Regions from separate parts of the Mus musculus genome. Here regions 1 and 2 are each reported to be linked to region 3. The links are microRNA targets in miRTarBase. Many come from high-throughput screens and were not tested one by one. Region 3 holds a microRNA gene; each other region holds the end of a gene's coding sequence.

What was found. Region 3 holds the annotated microRNA mmu-miR-466f-5p (UACGUGUGUGUGCAUGUGCAUG, at 2,364-2,385, opposite strand). A microRNA usually pairs through its seed, bases 2 to 8, with sites in the 3' UTR of a target mRNA and lowers its output. Matches are read on the target gene's strand: a 7mer-m8 pairs with bases 2 to 8, a 7mer-A1 pairs with bases 2 to 7 and ends in A, and an 8mer does both.
Region 1: the mRNA of Zfp641 is a reported target of mmu-miR-466f-5p. Seed matches in the 3' UTR shown: 7mer-m8 at 1,011-1,017.
Region 2: the mRNA of Emc3 is a reported target of mmu-miR-466f-5p. Seed matches in the 3' UTR shown: 8mer at 695-702.

What each region holds. Positions count from the first base shown.
Region 1 is chr15:98,284,570-98,288,817 of GRCm38, reverse strand. It overlaps Zfp641 (zinc finger protein 641), which reads left to right. Exons shown (of 6, transcript NM_173769.4): 6 at 1-2,696. The coding sequence ends at 346. It overlaps Gm33967 (a long non-coding RNA gene), which reads right to left. Exons shown (of 4, transcript XR_001781762.2): 3 at 1,744-2,693. Among named protein-coding and RNA genes, the nearest start is that of Zfp641, 9.5 kb to the left of the region's middle.
Region 2 is chr6:113,511,933-113,516,160 of GRCm38, reverse strand. It overlaps Emc3 (ER membrane protein complex subunit 3), which reads left to right. Exons shown (of 8, transcript NM_175101.3): 8 at 130-1,274. The coding sequence ends at 258. Among named protein-coding and RNA genes, the nearest start is that of Prrt3, 12 kb to the right of the region's middle.
Region 3 is chr2:10,466,823-10,471,069 of GRCm38, reverse strand. It overlaps Mir466f-2 (microRNA 466f-2), which reads right to left and starts at 2,395; the gene lies at 2,302-2,395. The region is part of intron 10 of Sfmbt2 (Scm-like with four mbt domains 2); the gene reads right to left. It overlaps Mir466f-1 (microRNA 466f-1), which reads right to left and starts at 4,126; the gene lies at 4,033-4,126. It overlaps Mir669f (microRNA 669f), which reads right to left and starts at 3,841; the gene lies at 3,721-3,841. It also overlaps Mir669e, Mir669b, Mir669d and Mir669l.

The DNA.
Region 1 (4,248 bases), not on the chromosome of region 3:
CTCTGAGTGCGGCAAGAGTTTCCGATGCAGCTCGCACCTGGCCAGCCACCAGAGAGTGCACGCAGACAGCAAGTCCTGCAAGGGCCAAGACTTTGGAGAGAGTCCTGCGGCTCAGCACTGCGTGCCTCCCGTGCCAAAGTGCCATGTGTGCACTGAATGTGGGAAGAGCTTTGGCCGGAGGCACCACCTGGTGAGACACTGGCTGACCCACACCGGGGAGAAGCCCTTCCATTGCCCTCGCTGTGAGAAGAGCTTTGGCCGCAAGCACCACCTAGATAGGCACCTGCTGACCCACCAGGGACAGAGTCCTGGGAGCAGCTGGGACAGAAGGACAGCTGCCTTTTGAAATCTGTCTCTTCTGTAGCCATGGTCATATCTGTCAGCCGGTGCTACCAGCAGCCACTGCCAGAGCTGGCCCTCTCCTGTACCCTGAGGGCCAGAGTATTTCTCACCATTTCTGTGAGACAACGTGGGAAAACAGAGTTCTCTGGGCAAAATTGTGGGAAATGGTGCAAAGTATGTATGTGTGAGGCTATTCATGCTGAACCTACTCTCAAGGGAACCAGCAGTGATAGCTGAGGTCCATTCTCACTGGTTGGGGTCCATGTGGTACCAGTTCCCAAGTATTTACTCTACACAGAGAGAAAGTGAAAGCGGCTGTTAGTATATCAAGGGCTCTGAGAACCCCCACAGTCAATTTCTATTCATGTAATGTTTCCTAAATTTGTTTGGCTCCAAGATCTACATCAAATTCTACAGAATGGGTGACTCCATGAAGTACTGGGCTAAGATGAAAGGAAGAAACAGGAAAGAGATGGTGATCAGGCATTCGGAGCTTGAGAGCAAGGGGCCAGACACTCTCATGTGGGTCTGCCTCCTCTCTTCCTCTTCTCTCTTCCCCTGTGATCACATGCCTCTCACTCCTCCCTCTGAAAAGTATAGAGTGAGCTTTCACTCCCAGTTCATAGTCCCTCATCCTGTACACACACACACACACACACACACACACACACACGTTCAACATGCACATACCACACACAACCACATGGATGCATATGCACACACATGCACACATGCTACACACACACACACACACACACACACAGCTGAGAGATCAGGTTACAGAGCTAAAGAGTGAACTTTGTTACCCAAGTAATCAAGGCCCACACAGAAGGAAAAACTATCCCCTTGAACAGAGCTTTCTCTTGTCTGTGTTTTTGTGTCCGTGTGTGTACGTGTGCAGGGTCTTTGAAGACAGCATGCTCAGTGCGAAATGTACAAGTTAGGTTTTCTAGGAACTGTGTTCTAGGGATAAGGGTAGTGGGGACGGTATGAGTTTTGGTTTTGTTTAAACGTATTCTGAGTGGTACAGGGAGTCGTAGTGGGATGGTGTAACAATGGCTTGAGTTGTGTACAAAGTTTTCCTTGGTATTCCTGGGATGTAGACAGTTGTGGATTTGTATATCTAGGTCTGAATCCCTGGGAGGAAATTCCCTTCCCCTACAGAGACGGAAAGGGACAGTGACTTGTTGTTGTTGTTGACCTCGAGCAATGTGATGGTGGTTCGTGCTGCGTGGGGTTCTGTCTTGTTTTGTTTCACGTGCTAAAACTATCAGGACAGGGGTCACAGCCCTGGGAGTTACTCTTGTCATCCTAGTTTGGCTTTCATCAAAGGGAAGAATGGTTGCTGAGCCTCTCATTCTCCCAGGAAAAAGAACCGGAGGAGAAAAGGCTGTTGCTTACCTTGCCGACCTGAGGCTACTGAGCTTCCTGAAGGTGTTCCTGCTGCCTCTGGAAAGGGCTTCACACTTTGGCTCTTGCCTCTGAGGTTAGCGCCTGCACCAGGGTTCAGACAGATGTCCCCATGCCTGTCAGTTCACGAGTTTTCACTGTTTTTTTCTTTTTGGTGACTGTGTTAATACACATCTTACAACTTAACCTCTATTTAAGAGAAGTTTGGAGTCAGGGAGGAACAGAAGCAAAGAATGTAAGAGGGGGTGTCTTCAAGGCTCACGCACGGGCTGCTGCTTCTCCTTGAGATATTTATTTCTCGAACACTGTTAGAATTAGCCAGAGAAGACACAGGAGGAAGTGATTTTCAGCGATCTAGTTAATGAGTGCTCTGCTTGAGAAAAGCTGGGTGAATCAGAGAGAGCTCTTGGGCCCTTGGCTCGAGAGGAATGGAAACAGAGTTATTCTGCTGACTAGGCATTTTGGTTAAATTGAGCAGCCCAGCCTCCAACCTCTTTCTGCAGCTGCTCAGAACAGCCTCCCTTCTTGAGCTAGGATGCATTCTCTTGCTTGTGTTCTGATGAATCAAGCAAAAAAAAAAAAGGGGGGGGGCAACCTTGCAAGCAGGCCTTAGTCTCCGGGGATTGGAGTCGTTCTAGAGTCAATGTGATGAGAATGAGAAAACTCGCCCACTTTAATACACATATTTACGATAAAGTCAGCTCTGTGCAAAGCAATCCCTTCGGAATCCGGTAGAAACCAGGCAGAAAAGTAGACATTTACAACTCACTCATTTGCATATGCATTGGACAAGTGGACTCAGAGCCTGCCCTTGGCATCTCCAAAGGAGAGGAACAGTTGGTGGTGGTGTCTCTCTCACATCCTTAATCCCAGCTTCAGGGAGGCAGAGAGAGATGGTTTCTGCGTTCTGGATGAGCCAAGGCAATGTAATGAGATCCTGTCTGAAAACAAAACAAAACAAAACAAACAAAACATAAGGGATGTATCCTTCCTGACTGGTTGTTGTGTAGATGACACTTGTATCAAGAACTACAAGGCAAGATTCATCAAGTATTTTAAGGATTTAAATACTAGAAGGCACCAGGAGATGAGGACAGAGCCAGGCCTTCAATGGCTAAGGCACGGCTTAGACTGACTGTGCCCTGTTCTTAGGGAACATCAACGTGCTCATGGCTCAGCTCACAAAGCCGGCTTTAAACGCTTGTGGGTGTTAATGTTCCTACCTATCAGACGATACCTCTCAATAACAGTGTAACCTCCAGCCTTTTATCTGCTTTAGTAATTGAGGGGATAGAAAGTGGAGCCCCCAAAGGGTAGGTGCGGTTACAGCATCCAACTGAAAGGCAGCACAGAGTTTAAGGGCTTTTTTTTTTCCCAAAAGGAACAGTCCTTTGGCTCATTTCTGATGTAACGTTATCTTGTCTACCTCGGTCCAATACAACGCCTTTGGACAAATAATAAAACGAGCAACGACCATTAAATGAGTGAATGGGTCTGATTCTTCACATAACCTCAAATTTTCACCTCCTCAACTCTTGGGTCTCATGAGTACACTCTCCAAGACCCTTACATTTTAATTTTGTGTATGAGTGTTTTGCCTGAGTGTATGTATATGCACCACATATGTGTGTCTGACACTCTCAGAGGTCAGATGTGGGCAATGAATTTCTGTGAGCTGTTTGCATCTACCCTGTGGGTGCTGGTCCAGGTAACGCCACACCTCAGGCTCCGCCCCTCTCTTTCGTCACCACTCGTGTCCACATCTTAGGCTCCGCCCTGGGCTCCCTCCTCTTACTCAACTCGTTTCCCCACAGGCAGCACCCTACTTGCTTTCTTCTCACTTCTGTTGTTCCGTTGAGTTTGTTTTGCCTGAGCAATCTCATCCCTTCCCAGGGGTATTTATTCTGCCCCATTTCTGTCCCTGCAAACCTAGTTTCTCTAAGTTTCTGGCTAATTGCACTCCACTCCGATCCCATCGCTACCCCTGCCTGCTGCCTAGTCTTCTCCTTGCTCCCTCCTTTTCTTTTTCCTTTCTCTCTCCATCTCTCTCCGTCTTGCCTCTACTGTATTGAAAATCTCACCCATGGTGCACCGACCCACAGTCCACTTCCCCAGCCCACTGCTTGCCTCTGCTTGCCTGGTCCAGCTCTTTCCCTCCTTTCCGGGATGCTTTCCTTCCCTTTCAGAGGCATTTCTCATCTATTTGGAGGCTGGGGGGAGGATTAATTTGCCCTTCCTGAGCCTCAAACTGTCTCAGTTTGCGGAAGGGGGCGCACATAAGGGTGTGTGCTCATGCACACGAGCGGAGAGATGGATGAGGACTTAATATAGGGACAACATAGCCAAAGAAGAGAACTTAGTGGCTGAGAAATCCATTCATTTCTCCAGATTTTTTTTTTTTAAACCACAGCAGAGTATGTGTTGAGGGGTGAAGCGAGGGGCTGAAGGGGAGGGTGTGTCTCAGTCTGGACAGCCCCCAGTCGCCCCTCCAAAACA
Region 2 (4,228 bases), not on the chromosome of region 3:
CAATGAGCTCATACACAGAACAGCCTTGCTTAGCTGCTGGTCAGAGAGGTGGTCACTCCATGCTGTCCCCAGCTGTCAGCTCAGTGGCAAGCATCCCTCTTAGCATCCCTGTGTTCTCTTCCTGTGCAGACAGAGTGGGAAGCTTTGGAACTGACAGATCACCAGTGGGCGCTCGATGATGTGGAAGAAGAACTCATGGCCAGAGACCTCCACTTTGAAGGCATGTTCAAAAAGGAACTACAGACGTCCATATTCTAACCACATGCGGGGTCAGCTGTGTCCGGAACTTGCAGTAGCACTTAACCTTGTAACTTCCGTGGAGCTGGAGCCTCTGAGAATAAAAAGGAGGGTGCAGGGGCTGGCGGGTGCAGCAAGGCTCATTCTTGTCTGAGCTGGGTTCCCCTTTATGTTGGAAACTAGAGGAAAAGGAGTTGTGGGTGACTGCTGTCTTAAAGTTTGTGATTGTTCCTTCAGGTGACTCTAGTAAGGACGTCAGAGAAAGGGGAGACCCCATGCTACTGAGAATAGCTCAACCCTTAGCAAAAACTCCGTGCTTGGAAAGAGCATTGTCAGTTATAGCAGTTACTATGTTCGGTCAGCCTGACTTCCAGCCACAGTAAACTCCTGTTTTCTTAGGATCCAAACACCCTGCATTTTACCTTGAATTTCTTGTTTGTATTTTTAACTTTCTTTACACACGTAATATACTTTTCTCTACCACAATTTAGAAACTATGGCTGAGCAGCACAGCGCTCCCCGCACTGTTCACTTGAGCCTACAAAGGACGCAGAGAACTGGTGTGGCCCAACATTGCTGAAATAAACTCTTTGCAGAGTGGATCCCCAGGGCCGGGGCAGACTCAGCAAACTTTTCATATCTCTTCATACTTAGTCCAGTGAAAACAGGTGACCCTGAGGCACAGCCAGACTCTCAAGTGCCTTTGGGCTCATCAGAGACAGGTTACATATACAAGTTCTTGATTGGAACTTGAGGAAATATCAACTCTATCGGCCAGTCAATGGTGCTGTGCTGTAAATGGCTACTCATTTGAACGAATGACCTCATCCCAGTTCCTCTGGGCAGGAGAGAACTTACCACTGTTGGGGCAAGAGGACAGTTTCTGGTGGATATGTAGATTAAGGTGCCCAGGAGTCCTCTGACCAGGGAAGTGTTAGGGTGCCATTTCTGTACCAAAAGCTGGGTGTGTTGCATGTTAAGCACTGTAGCCAAGAACAAGCGACTCTTGACTCTTAATTAAACAGCCCTGTTTTCTCTTTGCCTGTGAAAGTGTTGCTTCTGTGGGTTCTGAAGGGGAAAGAGATAAGAGCCTTTGCCCTCAACAAACTCATAGAGGGGGGCGGGGGATCTGTGGATGTAGCCTAGTGATGTCAGTTAAGAGTACATTATCCCCAGAACACACACAAAAGACCTCATCTGAGAGAACTGCTTATTTTCTTTTATCTGTATGAGTGTTTGGCTTGTATCAGGTCTGTGCCCCACATGTGTCAGCGCCTGCAGAGGCTAGAGAGGGTGGTGAGTTCCCTGGAACTGGAGTTATCATGGGTTGTAAGCTACCGTGAGGGTGCTGGGAACCAAACCCTGGTCCTCCACAAGAGCAACCAGTGCTCTTAAGCACGTCTCTGCATCCCCAAGAGAGATCTATTTTGAGGTCATAGAACCTCTGAATCTGATGGTCCAAAGCCAGGGTGACTTGTGAGCCATCTCAGAAGCAAACTTGATCCTGAAAGTGGGGGGAGGGACTAAGGGTCAGGGCTTGCAGCTGGGGTAGGCGTTGGTAAGTAACTGCTGTGTAGAATGCTGGGGGTGGGACAGGGTGGCAGCGCAGAGCTCATGGTCATGGTCTGGTCCTGTCCTGTGTCCTCGTGCCTGCCTCTGAAAAGGCATTTCCCCTGTCCGGGCCTCTTGGAAAAGTCCTCAGAAGGTTAAATGCTTTTGCCGAATGACAGAGAAAGGACACAACCCATTAGAGAATTGGGAAAGAAAAGTGACACATGCAGAGCTTAGACACAGTCACAGCAGCAGCATTTAGTCACAGTGGGAGGCCACACAGCTGTCCATCATGAATAACTGTCATATTCATGTGAAAGATTACTAAGCAATAAAACGAACGATGTACTGCCACTACAGCAGAGCTGGTCTCTCAAACAAAGAACCCAGTGTCAATGAATCAGTGCCCTTCCCAGTTTTGTGTGTGCTGAAGACAGAACCCAGGACCTTTGTACACTAGTCAAGTGTTCTACCACTGAGCTGCATACCCAGCCCTTCCAGGGTCTTTTTTTCCCCTCCTTATTTTGGGGCCTTATTATGTAGCCCTACCTGGCTTAGAACTTATTATGTAATCCAATCTGGCCTTGGATTCAGAGATCCACCTGCCTCTGCCTCTGCCTTCTCAGTGCCAGGACTAAAGATGGCACCACCACAGTCAACTCCCATCCCATCCCATCCCATGTTTTAATGCAACCTCCAGAATTAACAAATCCATAGAAATAAAGGTAGATTAGTCGTTACCAGGGCTTGGGGAAGCAGAACGGGAAATGCCTCCTTAAGGGTCCTGTGAATTTGTTCACAGGGTAATGTGATAGATGACCTGTTATCACTGATAAAATACCTAACAATAATCAAGGAAACAGAAAATCTGGGCTCACAGTTTCAGATGTTTCGCTCCATGGTTTGTTGCCTCTGGTTTCTAGACCTGTGGGGAGGAGCCAGAACGCACAGAGTATATGACAGGGTCTTGACATCTTGAGGGGCATGCCCTGCCAACCTAGTTTGCTGCAATGAGGCCTTTCATCTGAAAAGTTACATCACAGTATTTGCACAAACTGGAGACTAAGCCTTCCACATGTGAACCTTTAGGGAAGTTCCAGATCCAAACTAGAGAGTGATGTTCTAAAGCTGGATATGACAGGAGCTAGGAGTACCCCCTTTGACTTGTCTAGGAAATGTGTGACTTTATCCCATTCAGGAAGAATGGCTCCCTACAGCAGGGATGGTCTGAAAATGGGTTAGGCACAGCACACTTTCAGGGTTCCCTATGACACATTTAGGGCTACATACGGAGCTCAGTTTATAAAGTGCTTGCTTAGCATACAGGAGGGCCTTGGGTTCAATGCTAGCACTCCCTAAGCCCAGCATGATGGCACTCTCCTGTAATAGTAGCATTCAAGGGGAATGAAAGGTGATCTGAAGTTCAAGGTCATCCTTAGTTACATACTGTGTTCAAAGCCAGCCTGGGCTTAGTAAGACCCTCTCTTATGTAAGCTGAGTAGATGATTTGTATGGATGAGGTCTCAACCCCGCTGTGCTGACTAGTTTTATGGCCACTTGATACAAGCTACATCTGTGAGAAGGGAATCTCACTGAGGAAATGCCTCCATAAGTCAGGCTGTAGGCAAGTCTGTAGAGCATTTTTTAAAATATTTTTTAAATTTAATTGATGTATATGAGTACACTGTAGCTGTCTTCAGACACACCAGAAGAGGGGATGGGATCCCATTACAGATGGCTGTGAGCCACCATGTGGTTGCTGGGAATTGAACTCAGAACCTCTGGAAGAACAATCAGTGCTCTTAATCGCTGAGCCAATCTCTCCAGCCCATTGTAGATGGGGCCACTCCTGGGCTGCTAGAGCCATTATGGACTGAGCTGGCTAGGTTCTGTAAGTAGGCTGAGCAAGCCAGTAAGTAACAATCCTCTTATTTCCTCTGCATCAGCCCCTGCTTCCAAGTTCCTGCCCAGTTTGAGTTCCTGCCTTGGCTTTCTTCAGTGGACTGATTCAGGGTATTTAAGACAAATAAACCCCTTTCTCCCCAAGGTGCTTTTGGTCATGGTTTTTGACCACAGCAATAATCACCCTAACTAAAACACCTGTCAAGAACATAAGAAGAAGGGAGAAAGGATGTTCCTCTAGAGAACCCTGATTAATACAAGGAGGGAAGGAACTATTTGGTTTACAGGATACATCACAGAGGAAAGCTAAGACAGGATCTGAAGCAGAGATCATGAAGGAATGCTGCTTACTGGCTTGCTTCCAATGTTGGAGTTCATCAAAAGACCCTCACTCACAAAGACCACAGAGACTGCCATCGCTGCAAACTGCAAAAATCCTGCATGAGGATTTTTTATTATTCCAACATGTTGGGGACTCCCCTCTCAGCACACAGGCCAGAGGAGAGACCCAGAACAAAGAAAGAGCACACTTTTTATA
Region 3 (4,247 bases):
CATGAATCGCATGATGAACTCTAACTCATCATGAAGTTAAACATGAATTTGAACTCCAGATCCTCCAGACTCTGGCAAGCGTTTCACCTCCTAACTGAGACATAGCTCTGGATCACTACCGCATAAGCGCTAAAGCTCTATGGCACATATCATTTCAAAGGATATATGAGTGGCATTACTGTGTGTGCATGTGTGTATATGCATATTCATATAGAGAAGTGAATATGCACACAACTCTAACACATGCACATTCTTGGTGTGCATCACATCAATTGCATACTGATCTCTAAATCGTTGTGAAATTAAGCATGAATTTGAACTCCTGATCCTCCTGACTCTGGCAAGTGTTTCACCTAGTGAGTGAGACTTCTCCTTGACCCATTTATACATAGCTCTAAAACATTAAGTTACATATCATTCAAATGGATAGATGAGTATCAATTTTGAGTTTGTGTGTGTGTGTGTGTATTTGTGTGTGTCTCTGTGTGTGTGCATGTTGTGTTGGTTAGTTTATATGTGTATATTTATATGCATATATTAACATGCACACATACATATATGCACACATGCACATACATAAGAAACATCCCAGTCTGATTTCTATCTCTTCATGAAGTAAATTTTGTATTTGAACTCTCTCTTCACCTGACTCTGGCAAGTGTTTTTACCTTATGAGTGAGACTATTACTGACCCAGTACTACATAATATTTAAAGCTCTAAATTATATATCATACAAATGGATCAATGAGTGCCATTCATGTGTGTGTGTGTCCATGCATGCATGTATGTTTGTGTGTATGTATATGTATATTCATATACACATATACACATGAACACACTTATGTATACACATATGCACATTCAAGGGGAGACATCACATGAATCCAGGCTGATCCCAAATTCTTCATGAAGTTAAACATGAATTTGAACTCCAGATACTGATGACTCTGGCAAGGGTTTTTACCTGGTGAATCAAAACTTTCAGTGGCCAAGTACTACATAATCTCTAAAGCTCTAAGTCACAAATAATTCCAATGGATCGATGAGTGCCATTCATATGTGGGTGTCACATGTATGTGTATGTATGAGTTTATGTATATGTATATTAATATACACACATACATCACGGGATCATCACAAAAATCTCAGGCTCCTCTCTAACTCATCGTGAAGTTAAGGATAAAATTGAACTCTTTTATTATTAGGTATTTTCTTCATTTACATTTCCAGTGTTATCCCAAAAGTCCCCCATACCCTTCCCCCCCCAACTCCCCTACCCACCCACTCCCACTTCTTGGACCTGGCGTTCCCCTGTACTGAGGCATATAAAGTTTGCACGACCAATGGGCCTCTCTTTCCACTGATGGCCGACTAGGCCATCTTCTGATACATATGCAGCTAGAGATACAAGCTCCGGGGCGTACTGGTTAGTTCATATTGTTGTTCCACCTATAGGGTTGCAGATCCCCTCAGCTCCTTGGGTACTTTCTCTAGCTCCTCCAATGTGGGCTCTGTGATCCATCCAATAGCTGACTGTGAGCATCCACTTCTGCGTTTGCCAGGCCCTGGGCCTACTGACTCTGGTAAACATTATCACCTGCTGACTGAGACCCCTCTCAGGCCAAGTACTGCATAACCTCCAAAACTTGAGGTGACATATCATTCAAATGAATCACTGAGTGCCATTCATGTCTGTGTGTCTTTGTGTGCCTGTATATGATTGTATGTATGGATATGTATATTCATATACAAACAGGCAAATGCACACAAAACTATACACCCATGCACATACACGGGGTACATCCCAGGAATACCAGGCTGATCTCTAACTCATTATGAAGTTAAGCATGAATTTGAACTCCAGATCTTTCTGACTATACCAATCGTTTATATCTGGTGAGTAAAAAGTTTCATTGGCCCAGTACTACATAATTTCTAAAGCTCTAAATCACATATCAATAAAATAAATCGATGAATACCATTCCTGCGTGTGTGTTGATGTGTTCATATGAATGCGTGTATATATGGGTGTGTATGTATATGTATATTCATATACACACATATACATGCACACACAACTATACGCACATGCACAAACATGGGGGGCAAAACATGATTCACAGTTTGATCTCTAAATCCTCATGAATGTAAGCATGAATTTGAACTCCTGATTCTCCTGATTCTGGCAAGCATTTTCAACTAGAAAGTGAGAGCACTCACTGGCCCAGTACTACATAATCTCTATAGTTCTACGTCACATATCATTCAAATGGATAAATGAGTGCCATTCGTGTGTGTGTGTGTGTGTGTGTTACATGAGTGTGTATGTGTGTGTGTATGTATACATATATTCATATACACACATGCACATGCACACACACGTAAACACACATTCACATACATGGGTGGCATCACATGAATGCCAGGATGATCTCTAACTGAAGTTAATCATGAATTTGAACTCCTGATCCTCCTGACTCTGTCAACCATTTTCACCTGGTGAGTGAGACCGTTCATTGACACACTACTGCATAATCTATAAGACTCTAAGTCACATATCATTCAAATGGATCGATGAGTGCCATTCCTGTGTATATGTATTTGTGTGTGTGCATGCATGCGTGTGTATATGGGTGTGTATGTATATGTATATTCATATACACACATATACATGCACACACAAGTATACACACATATAGAGCAAGCAACACACAAATCCCGGGCTGATCTCTAACTCATCATGAAATTAAGCATAAATTTTTACTGCTGTTCTTCCTTACTCTGCAAGCATTTTCACCTGGTGAGAGAGAGAGAGCTCTTTTGGGCAAAGGAATACTCAATCTCTAACCTCTAGGTTGCATATCATTCACATGGATTGGTAAGTGGCAATTGTGGGTGTGTTTGTGTGTGTGTGCATGTTTGTGTGGGTATGTATGTATATGTATATTCATATATACATACATTTTCATGCACACATAAATATACACACATGCACATACATAGGGGTCATCACATTAACACAAGGCTGATCTCTAACTCATCATGAAGTTATTATGAATTTGAACTCCTGATTCTCCTGACTGTGAGAAATGTTTTTGCCTGGTGAGTGAGATGTCTCACTGGCCCAGTAAATTTACATATTATACAAATGGATCGATGAAAGCCATTTCTGTGTCTGTATCTGCGCATGCGTGTATATGTTTGTGTGTATGTATATGTACATTAATAGACACACATGCACATGCACACAAAACTATATACACATGCACATACATTCATGGGGGACATCCCATGAATTCTAGGCTGATGTCTAACTCATCATGAAATTAAGCATGAATTTCATCTCCTAATCCTCCTGAGTATGGCAAACATTGTTACCTGGTGAGTGAGATCTCTCCCTGGCACTGTCCTGCCTAAACTCTCAAGCTCTAAGACACATATCATTCAAATGGATGTGTGTGTGTGTGCATGAGTGTGTAAGTGTGTGTATATTCATATTCATATACACAAATGAACATGCACACACAAGACACACACCTGCCCATATATAGGGTACAGCCCATGAATCCCAGGCTGATCTTTAACTCATTATGAAGTTAAGCATGATTTTGAACTCTGGATACTGATGCTCTGGCAAGCCTTCCCTGGTGAATGAAAAGTTTCAGTGGCCCAATACTACATAATCTCTAAAGCTCTAAGTCACATATCATTCAAATGGATCAACGAGTGCCATTCCTCTGTGTGTGTTTGTGCTTGCGTTTATACGTGTGTGTGTATGTATATGTATATTCATATACACACATGCACATGCACACACAACTATACACACAGGCACATACATGGGGGGCATCACATGAATCACAGACTAATCTCTAAATTCTCAGGAAGTTGAGCATGAATTTGAATTCCTGATTCTCCTGATTCTGGCAAGCATTTTCACCTTCTGAGTGAGACCATTCACTGGCCCAGTACTGTATAATCTCTAAAACTATAAGTCACATATCATTAAAAGTGATCAGTGAGTGTCATTCATATGTGTGTGTTGCATGTGTGTGTATGTGTGTGTGTATGTGTATGTATATTCATATACACACATGCACATGCACACACACGTAAACACACATGCACATACATATGAATACCAGGATGATCTCTAACTGAAGGTAAGCATGAATTTGAACTTCTGATCCTCCTGACTCTGTCAATCGTTTACACCTGGTGAGTGAGAACATTCACTGTCCCCTAT